2 linked regions of the Callithrix jacchus genome follow. The protein of the gene in region 2 purifies or fractionates together with the protein of the main gene of each other region. This does not show direct contact. Links are inferred from orthologs where the notes say so. Each region holds a gene or a part of one and is shown on either strand. Other genes may lie near its edges.

Region 1 (4,343 bases), about 30 Mb from region 2:
GAACCAAATCTTACAGAGAAAGTAATAAACATACTTCAAGGGCCGGGCACAGTGGCTCATGTCTGTAATCCCAGCACTTTGGGAGGCCAGGGTGGGCAGATCGCAAGGTCAGGAGTTTGAGATCAGAATGGCCAACATGGAGAAACCCCATCTCTACTAAAAATACAAAAATTGCTCGCGTGTGGTGGCGCATGCCTGTAATCCCAGCTACTCAGGAGGCTGAGGCAGGAGAACTGCCTGAATCCAGGAGGCGGAGGGTGTAGTGAGCTGAGATTGTGCCACTGCCCTCCAGCCTGGGTGACAGAGCAAGACGGTCTCTAAATAAATATCAAATAAGTAGCCTTTAGAAAAAAGTTCTGTCCACAGCAGTAGTTATTAAGTGTAACTACTGCACTTCATCTGAGGTAAAAAAAAAAAAAAATACAACTTTGTCAGAAAAACATAACACACTTAGAAGACTTCCATTGTTGAGTAAAAATATTTTTATATAAAGGTATTTAATGACAAGAAAAGCTTAATAAGAGATGTGTATTATATGCATACAATGTATTTCATTATGCAGAGAAAAAATACACAGAAAAAGACTGGAAAGGAAACATGCAAAAATGTTCACAGTAACCAAATCTGAGTGGTAAGATTAAAGACAATGTTTTAAAGATTTTCTAGTACTCCCTGAATTTTGCAAGCTTTGACAAAGATCAGGTATTATTTCGAAAAGCGGAAAATTTTTAAACTGCAAAAAAGGTGGCATTCACTTGTCATACAGGCAAACAACAAACGCATGCTTACAAAACACAGGCCCTAAGCTGCTTTCACAGATCACAGAGTCTAGATTTCAAATACAACTGCTAATTACTTGCTAGCAATTTGAAGAAAGCACAAAATAGGTCTAAATACTTTCACTTCTGCCTCTACTATAAAGAGTTCATAATTAATAAAAAATAAAAACGAATAAAGAAAGCCTTACCCTTTCTACAAAAAGGTCTTTGTCCCGCTTTCTGTATCAGAATATTAATAACCATTTGATTTTTTAAAAAATCATCAATTTATGTTATTTTACACAAAAGCCACCTCAAAGAATGTAGGTTTAGTTTGGTAATTCCAAAGAGCAGACACTTAATACAAAGTGCAAGAAGTTTTTATGCATTTTAGCGTTAGCGAACGCACAAAAAAACCTTCTGTATGAAATGAGCTTATTTTATATACACCTTTCCATTATCTCTTCAGAGCCTGACATCTAATGAGGCTTTCTGCAAAAGTACTTTGCTTAGCCTGGGCATGGGAATATCTGGGAAGCTGTCAAAATCGATCTCAACTGCATTACATTCAAGGCACAGAATGTCAACTCCTGACTGGGCTTCCTTCTCTCTTCTTTCACAAGAGCGCCTTTAATATCCCCTAGCCTACATTTCCGGGCTTATGAGTCACTGAGAAATGAGCTCTAAGTTTCTCTTAGAATGCTGCTCAAATAGCTCCTCTACAGCATTCAAGGATCTGGCCCCAAAATACCTCTTTAGCCCAATACCCCCCGCCCCTGCACTATGCAAACAAACGGAATGATCCATGATTTCTAGGCTTTGTCTTCTCGTTTTTGCTGCCCTTCCACACTCTTCTGCAACCCTCCTTTCCTAAATCTCATCAGGCCTTCAAGACCCTACTCGGCACCCCCCGCCTAGGAAGCCTTCCAGGTTTCTGCTAGGCAGAAGTGATCGGTTCGGTTCCGCCGGGTGCCCTTCTAGCTCTCTGTCCTTCTTTCACAGGACTTATCACCTCCTTCCCGGTATCGCAGTTATTTGTGTACGCGTCTTATCTCCCACACCAGAGCCTCAGCTCCTCGGGGGAGGGGACAGGGGCTGGCTTCACCTTTGAATCCCTCCGGCGCGGGCCGACTACTGCGTCTGCACGCAGTCCGCGCTCGGGATGGTTCCATTGCACTCGAGAACGCTCCGACCGCACAAATCCTAACGAGAAATCAGTTAGGCATTTCCCTGAACTGATCACAAAGCTGGTATCCGCCTCCCGACAACAGGAAGTTTACCAGGGGCGGGAGCGAGACGCTGGAGCCTGGGTGCTGCCGGTGACAGTTGGCCCGGCCCGCACTTCCCCGCCCTCCCGACTCCGGCCCGGGCCGCCCCGCGCCGCCAACCCGGCCTGAGAACCACAGAGGGGGCGGCAGGAGCGCCTGGACCGCAGGCCCCCGGGCGCCCCGCGCCGGCGAAAGCAAGGGGAGCGTCTCAGCGAGGGACCCGGGCTGAGGCGGGCGGGGAGGGCAGGCCGAGCCCGGCTGCTCCCGCGGGCTCCGGGGCCAAGCCGGGCTGAGGCCGCCGCCACCAGAGAAAATGGAGGCAGCCCCGGAGCCGGTGAGGGCCCGGCGGGGCAGGCGGAAGCTGGGCGGGCGTCCGCGCCACGAGCAGGGCCGGGCCGGGGGTCACTCACGGGGCTGGGCTGGGCGTTCCCTTCTCTGCCTCCGCGTCGTCGCCGTCCCCGTCCTCGGCTGCCGCCGCCTCGGGCTGCTCGTTCAGTCCCCGCGGCGTGGCTCGGACGCTGGGCCCCTCCGTTGTCTTCCGCCCGCTCCTGCTTCAGGCGACGGGCTCCCGCGGCGGCGGCTGCACGGGCGGACGGCGGCCCAGGGGCTCCCGCGGCGGCTGCCGCGGTGCTGCTCTCACTCGGGCTGCGGCTGCTGCTGCGGGACTCGACGCCGCCTTAGTCTTCGCCTATGCCCCCGCCCCGGCGCCTGAAGGTTCTGTGTCTCCCAGGCCGCGCCGCTCCCCGATCCCCGCGCCCCACTCGCGGCCCGAGCCCGGCTTTGACGTGCGCACTGCGCAGCCGCCGAGGACGCGACGTCGGGCGGCGCCGCAACGCCCCCTTCCGCCTCGGGCGCCCCCGAGCGGCCGGCGGACTCAGTGCGCTGAGAGTTGACACCAGGCCCCAGCGGGAGGGGCCGCAGAGAAAAGCAGAAGCCGAGTCCGCAGTTCCTCTTCCTCAGCTGCGGCTTCCAAGGCGGGGCTCAGCCCCTTCTCCGCCTGAGCGCGCTTCCTACGGGAATCGCACGCTCACTTTCAACGACCGCTTCCTCAACTCTTCAAGCTTATTTCTGCGAAAGGCCCGCAGCCCACTTTGTGTAGACCGATTCTGTCTTATTTGCGATCAGATCATTTTAGCATCTAGGGGGACACAGCATAGAAAGTGCCGGAACGTTCCAGATTAATGGGAACGTTCCTATTTAAATCAGCAACCTGGATTTAAATTATTCTCCACCATTTGCTATCTGTGGGCTGTTTCACGTCCCTATGCCTGGATTTCCTCACACATTAAAAAAAAAGTGTAATAATATAGTGGTTCCTCCCACGGGCACCTGAGAATGAACGGGACAGTGCATTACAAAGCTCTGACAGTGAAAACTGGCACATACAAATGCCTTATGTGTGTACTTTTGTTTCTTTGTTATTAATGTGTAATTGAGCTATTTTTTTAAGCACCTCCTGTATGCTAGGGGGTGGGGCAGTGATCGAAACAGTCTCTGCTCCTGGCACAAACAGTTGACAAATAATTGACTAATAAACCTTAATATCTATAATACTGGACAGGTTTTTTTGTGGGTTTTGTTTTGTTTTGTTTTTTGAGACAGAGGCTCGCTCTGTTGCCCATGCTGGAGTGCTCACTGCAACCTCCGCCTGCCGAGTTGAAGCGATTCTCCTGCCTCCGCCTCCCCGGTAGCTGGTATTACAGGCACCTGTCACTACGCTCTGCTAATTTTTGTATTTTTTTTTTTTTTTTTGAGACGGAGTTTCGCTCTTGTTACCCAGGCTGGAGTGCAATGGCGCGATCTCGGCTCACTGCAACCTCCACCTCCTGGGTTCAGGCAATTCTCCTGCCTCAGCCTCCCGAGTAGCTGGGATTACAGGCACACGCCACCGTGCCCAGCTAATTTTTTGTATTTTTAGTAGAGACGGGGTTTCTTCGTGTTGGTCAGGCTGGTCTCGAACTCCTGACCTCAGGCGATCCGCCTGTCTCGACCTCCCAATGTGCTGGGATTACGGGCGTGAGCCACTGTGCCTGGCCCAATACTGGACAGTTTTAAGTGCCCTGGAGAAAAACACCACTGGATGAAGTGAAGAGAGAAGGCAGCCTGTTGTTATTTGCAGTGCTCCTCCAGGGATCGGCTTCCTGGAGAGAGAGGGCCTGGGAGCTTTCTGTATGGAACGGCAGAGGGACCCGAAGGACCAAGGCCCTGAAGCCAGAATGTGCTGTCTTGAGGACCCAGAGAGGGCAGGAGATAAGGAAGGAGTGGGGCCCTAGAGACCAAAGTTAGGCCTTCCTGTTTTTACTCTCAAGGAGTTGGG
Region 2 (3,643 bases):
AACCACCTCTGGGAGATAAGAGAGATGGCAAAAAGGGGCTGGATCTTGAATGAGGAAGAGTTTGCTAGGTATTCTAGTCATAGGTTTTGTTACAGACAACATAAACAATCCTGGCTAACTTAAGTGAAAAAGGAATTTCACAGAATTATTGGCTAGAGAAATAAGCTTGGAAGAAGCCAAGAGAAGCTGTGTGATGAGGACTAGGACTGTGAAACAGGAGCAGCCTAGTGAGTATTCTGCCCGCCGCCAGACGCTGGCCCACTGCAGGGAGCTCTGACAACTGCTGCTGCTTTGTCCTTCACTCCATGCTCCAGTTGGCCAATCATAGGTCACATGCCAGGGTCAAGGAGACTAAGGGAGTGTAAGGATCTGACCTTTTCTGAAATAGCACATAGTGGCAAATGACCCAAAATTAGAAAGGAGTTTCAGATGGTGCCAATTCTAAAAAGGGAAAAAGATGTTTACCTCAGTAAATGACTGAGGAAGGATAGTTAGAGGGAGAATACCATACAGTTCCTTTGTGACTACAAGTGGGAACAAGGGGAGAGTAGGCAGAGATAGGAGATGAATCTGGAAAGGCAGGTTTGGAACACGTTGTAAAGGACTTCATGTAGTGGGTTTAGAATGACCTCCACAACCTACCCTTCTTATGACTCAGAGGATTTAAGTTGGAAATTTGGAATTTATTGTCCTTCTTCTAGAGAGACATTGTGGAATCATGATGACAGTAATAGCATCTAACAGGCATTACGGTGAACATTTACTATGCATTTTTTTCCTTTAACACTTTACCACTCCCATTTTGTAGATGAGGACCCCAAGGCGTTGAGACAGTCATACAGTTAGTGATTTGAAACCATATCTTTCTGACTATAGGATCTAAGCTCTCAGCTGCCACACTGTAGGATCTGCTGTTGATAAAATGCCAAATTTATAACAACTCAGGCAACAGTCAGGAAGATATAGTAGATCAGCCATGCAAAACCAGAAGTATCATCTTCATTACCTGTGTCTTTTAAAAAAATTACTGCACCTATATTCCATCACAGAGCTACTGAACCAAGGTTTCTGGGGAGTGGGGCCAAGGCAGAGGCATTTTAAAGTAGTTCCCTCAGTAATTGTGGCATGTGCTATGGCTGAGAATGCAGGGCATATGAGGGAGTCACTGCATACATCCAGGTCGAGAGGACAGGGCTCAAACCAAGTCAGTGACTCTGACACTGTGGGGAGGAGATGAATTTGAGATTAACTTCATTTCAAAAATAAAACTGACAAAATTCGGTACCATGGAGAGAGGGAGGGAACTAACGTTTATTGGGTGGATATTAGTAGGTGCCACTCTAGGTGTTTTATGTTTAAAAAGCTGACAATACCAAATGCTGGTGAATACATCAGGCAGTGGCAGTTCTTATACATTATTTGTGGGAAGGTGAAATGATTCAGCCACATTTGAAAACAAATTGGCAACTTCTTATAATGTTAAACATGTTTACCACATGACCCAACAATCTCTCAGATATTTGCGAAAGATAAGTGAAAACATATGTCTACTTAAAAGCCTGTACAGGAATGTTTTTGGCAGCTTTATAGTCACCAAACTGAAAACAACCTAAATAACCATTCACGTTATAAATGGATAAATTGCAGTATAGCCATGCAATTAATTATTGCTCAGCAATAGAAATTAACTGCTGATGCATACAACAACATGGATGAGTCTCAGAAGCATATGCTAAGTGAAAGAAGCTAAACACAAAAGAAGCTGATGACTGTATTCTTTTTAATACCATTTATGTGACAAAAATCAGATCGGTGGTTGCCAGGGACTGGGAGTGGGGACGGGATTGCTGAATAGCATTCCATTGTGTGAGTGTATTGCAATTGTGACTTGATATCAAGTCACAATTTTAGCCATTATAATAGATATGTAATGGTGTGTCACTGTTTTAATTTGCATTTCTGTAACTTGAGCAACTTATGCTTATTGGCCATTCCTATATCTTATTTTGTGGATTGCTTGTTTAATCCTCTGCCTCTTTTTAATTGGGTTACCTGATAAGTATTATCAATATTTTGAATCAGTAGTGTGCCTTTTCATTTTCTTAACTGTATTTTTTGAAGAGCAAAACTTTTCCATTTTTATGAAGTCCAAATTGACAATTTTTTTTTCTTCTTTAGTTACTAACATGAATTATCTCTCTGATTATAGGAAGAGGATTTGACAACTTGACTTCTGTCCATCTTGCACGGCATACTCCTACGGGAACACTGGTAACTATAAAAATTACAAATCTGGAAAACTGTAATGAAGAACGCCTGAAAGCTTTACAGGTAACAATATGAAGAAAATGATACATACTTGGCCCTCTGTATCCACTGGTTCCACATCTGCAGATTCAACCAACTGTGAATAGAAAACATATTTTTTTAAATAAATAATACAATAAAAATAGTACAAATAAAACACAGCATAACTACTTATATAGCATTTACATTGTATTAGAAATTGTAAGTAACCTAGAAATGACTTAAAATATATAGGAGGATGTGTGTAGGTTATATGCAAATACTATGCCATTTTATACAGGGACTTGAGCATTCTTAGATTTTAGTACATTCATGGGATGGTGTATAGGAGACTGTCAGGGGATACAGTCCTGGAACCAATCCTCCGTGGAGACTAAGGGATGATTGTATTTAATATAATGTTTATTTGAGGAGATTACATCTGTAAGAATTTTCTCACCCAAACTGATGGTTCTTCTGTTAGGGAAATGTAGATTTCTTCTAATTAACATGCAGTTACAAATTTGGAAAGAACACTTGGAAGCCAGATTCATTATATGAAAGAATAGATACATTCAAACTTTGATAACTACTGCTCTTTCAAATGACTATCATATTCAGAATGCTAGTCTGGAGTTTTATAATACCCCTACTCAGTCCAATCATAAATAGTCACAGGAAAATTGAAGATACCAAAAGCAAACAGTTTCCTTTTCATCCAGTTAAGCAAAATTAATTTCTGAATGACAAATTTTGACAGAATTGCATTTCAGGTATTTTATAATACCATTTTTATTGTCACGAATCATTTTTGATATAAAAGGGGAAAGGATTTTGTTTGGATATTGTTCCAATTCTTAGAACATTTATATGTGTACATGTATATTGCACAAACAAAAAAAGACTGGGAGAAACTATACCAAAATGTTAACAGTGGCTCTCTGTGAGGTAGTGATAGAAAAGATTTTTATTTTCATATTTTTATGTGTTTTTAAATTTTTTTTTAATAATAAGAACATAGTACAGTTATTAAGTGTATGACCCTAGCGGGAAACTAAGTTCACATTCTACTTCCACTTCTTTTTATTAATTGCATGCTTTTGGACAGGTTTTCTAACATATTTTAAAGTGTTATCTTCTGAAAAATGGGAAACATAATATCACATACTTGTGGAGTGGTTGTGAGATTTAAACAGATGAAAGCTCTAAGAACAGTGATTTCACTATTAAGCTCCCTTGAGTATTAGCTGCCATGACTGCTGTTTTCATCGTAAGGAAAAAAAGGTTGTTTTTAAATGTCTTGTCTTTTGTGTGTTTATCCTAGAAAGCCGTGATTCTATCTCACTTTTTCCGGCAT

What was found. Proteins that work in one complex are often made in the same cells at the same time.
Region 1: the proteins of STRADB (region 2) and CAB39 purify together in Homo sapiens (affinity purification with mass spectrometry; 3 studies listed by BioGRID and IntAct, counting the BioPlex papers as one, with this or other methods). This does not show direct contact. The link is inferred for Callithrix jacchus from reciprocal best matches to the Homo sapiens genes STRADB and CAB39.

What each region holds. Positions count from the first base shown.
Region 1 is NC_133507.1:152,182,070-152,186,412, reverse strand, and holds the start of CAB39 (calcium-binding protein 39), read right to left. Parts: upstream 2,823-4,343; 5' UTR 2,437-2,822; exon of another isoform or gene 1,864-2,436; intron 1-1,863. UniProt on the Homo sapiens protein: Component of a complex that binds and activates STK11/LKB1. In the complex, required to stabilize the interaction between CAB39/MO25 (CAB39/MO25alpha or CAB39L/MO25beta) and STK11/LKB1.
Region 2 is NC_133507.1:122,530,284-122,533,926, forward strand, and holds part of STRADB (STE20-related kinase adapter protein beta), read left to right. Parts: intron 1-2,209; coding exon 2,210-2,331; coding exon of another isoform or gene 2,332-2,404; intron 2,405-3,610; coding exon 3,611-3,643. UniProt on the Homo sapiens protein: Pseudokinase which, in complex with CAB39/MO25 (CAB39/MO25alpha or CAB39L/MO25beta), binds to and activates STK11/LKB1.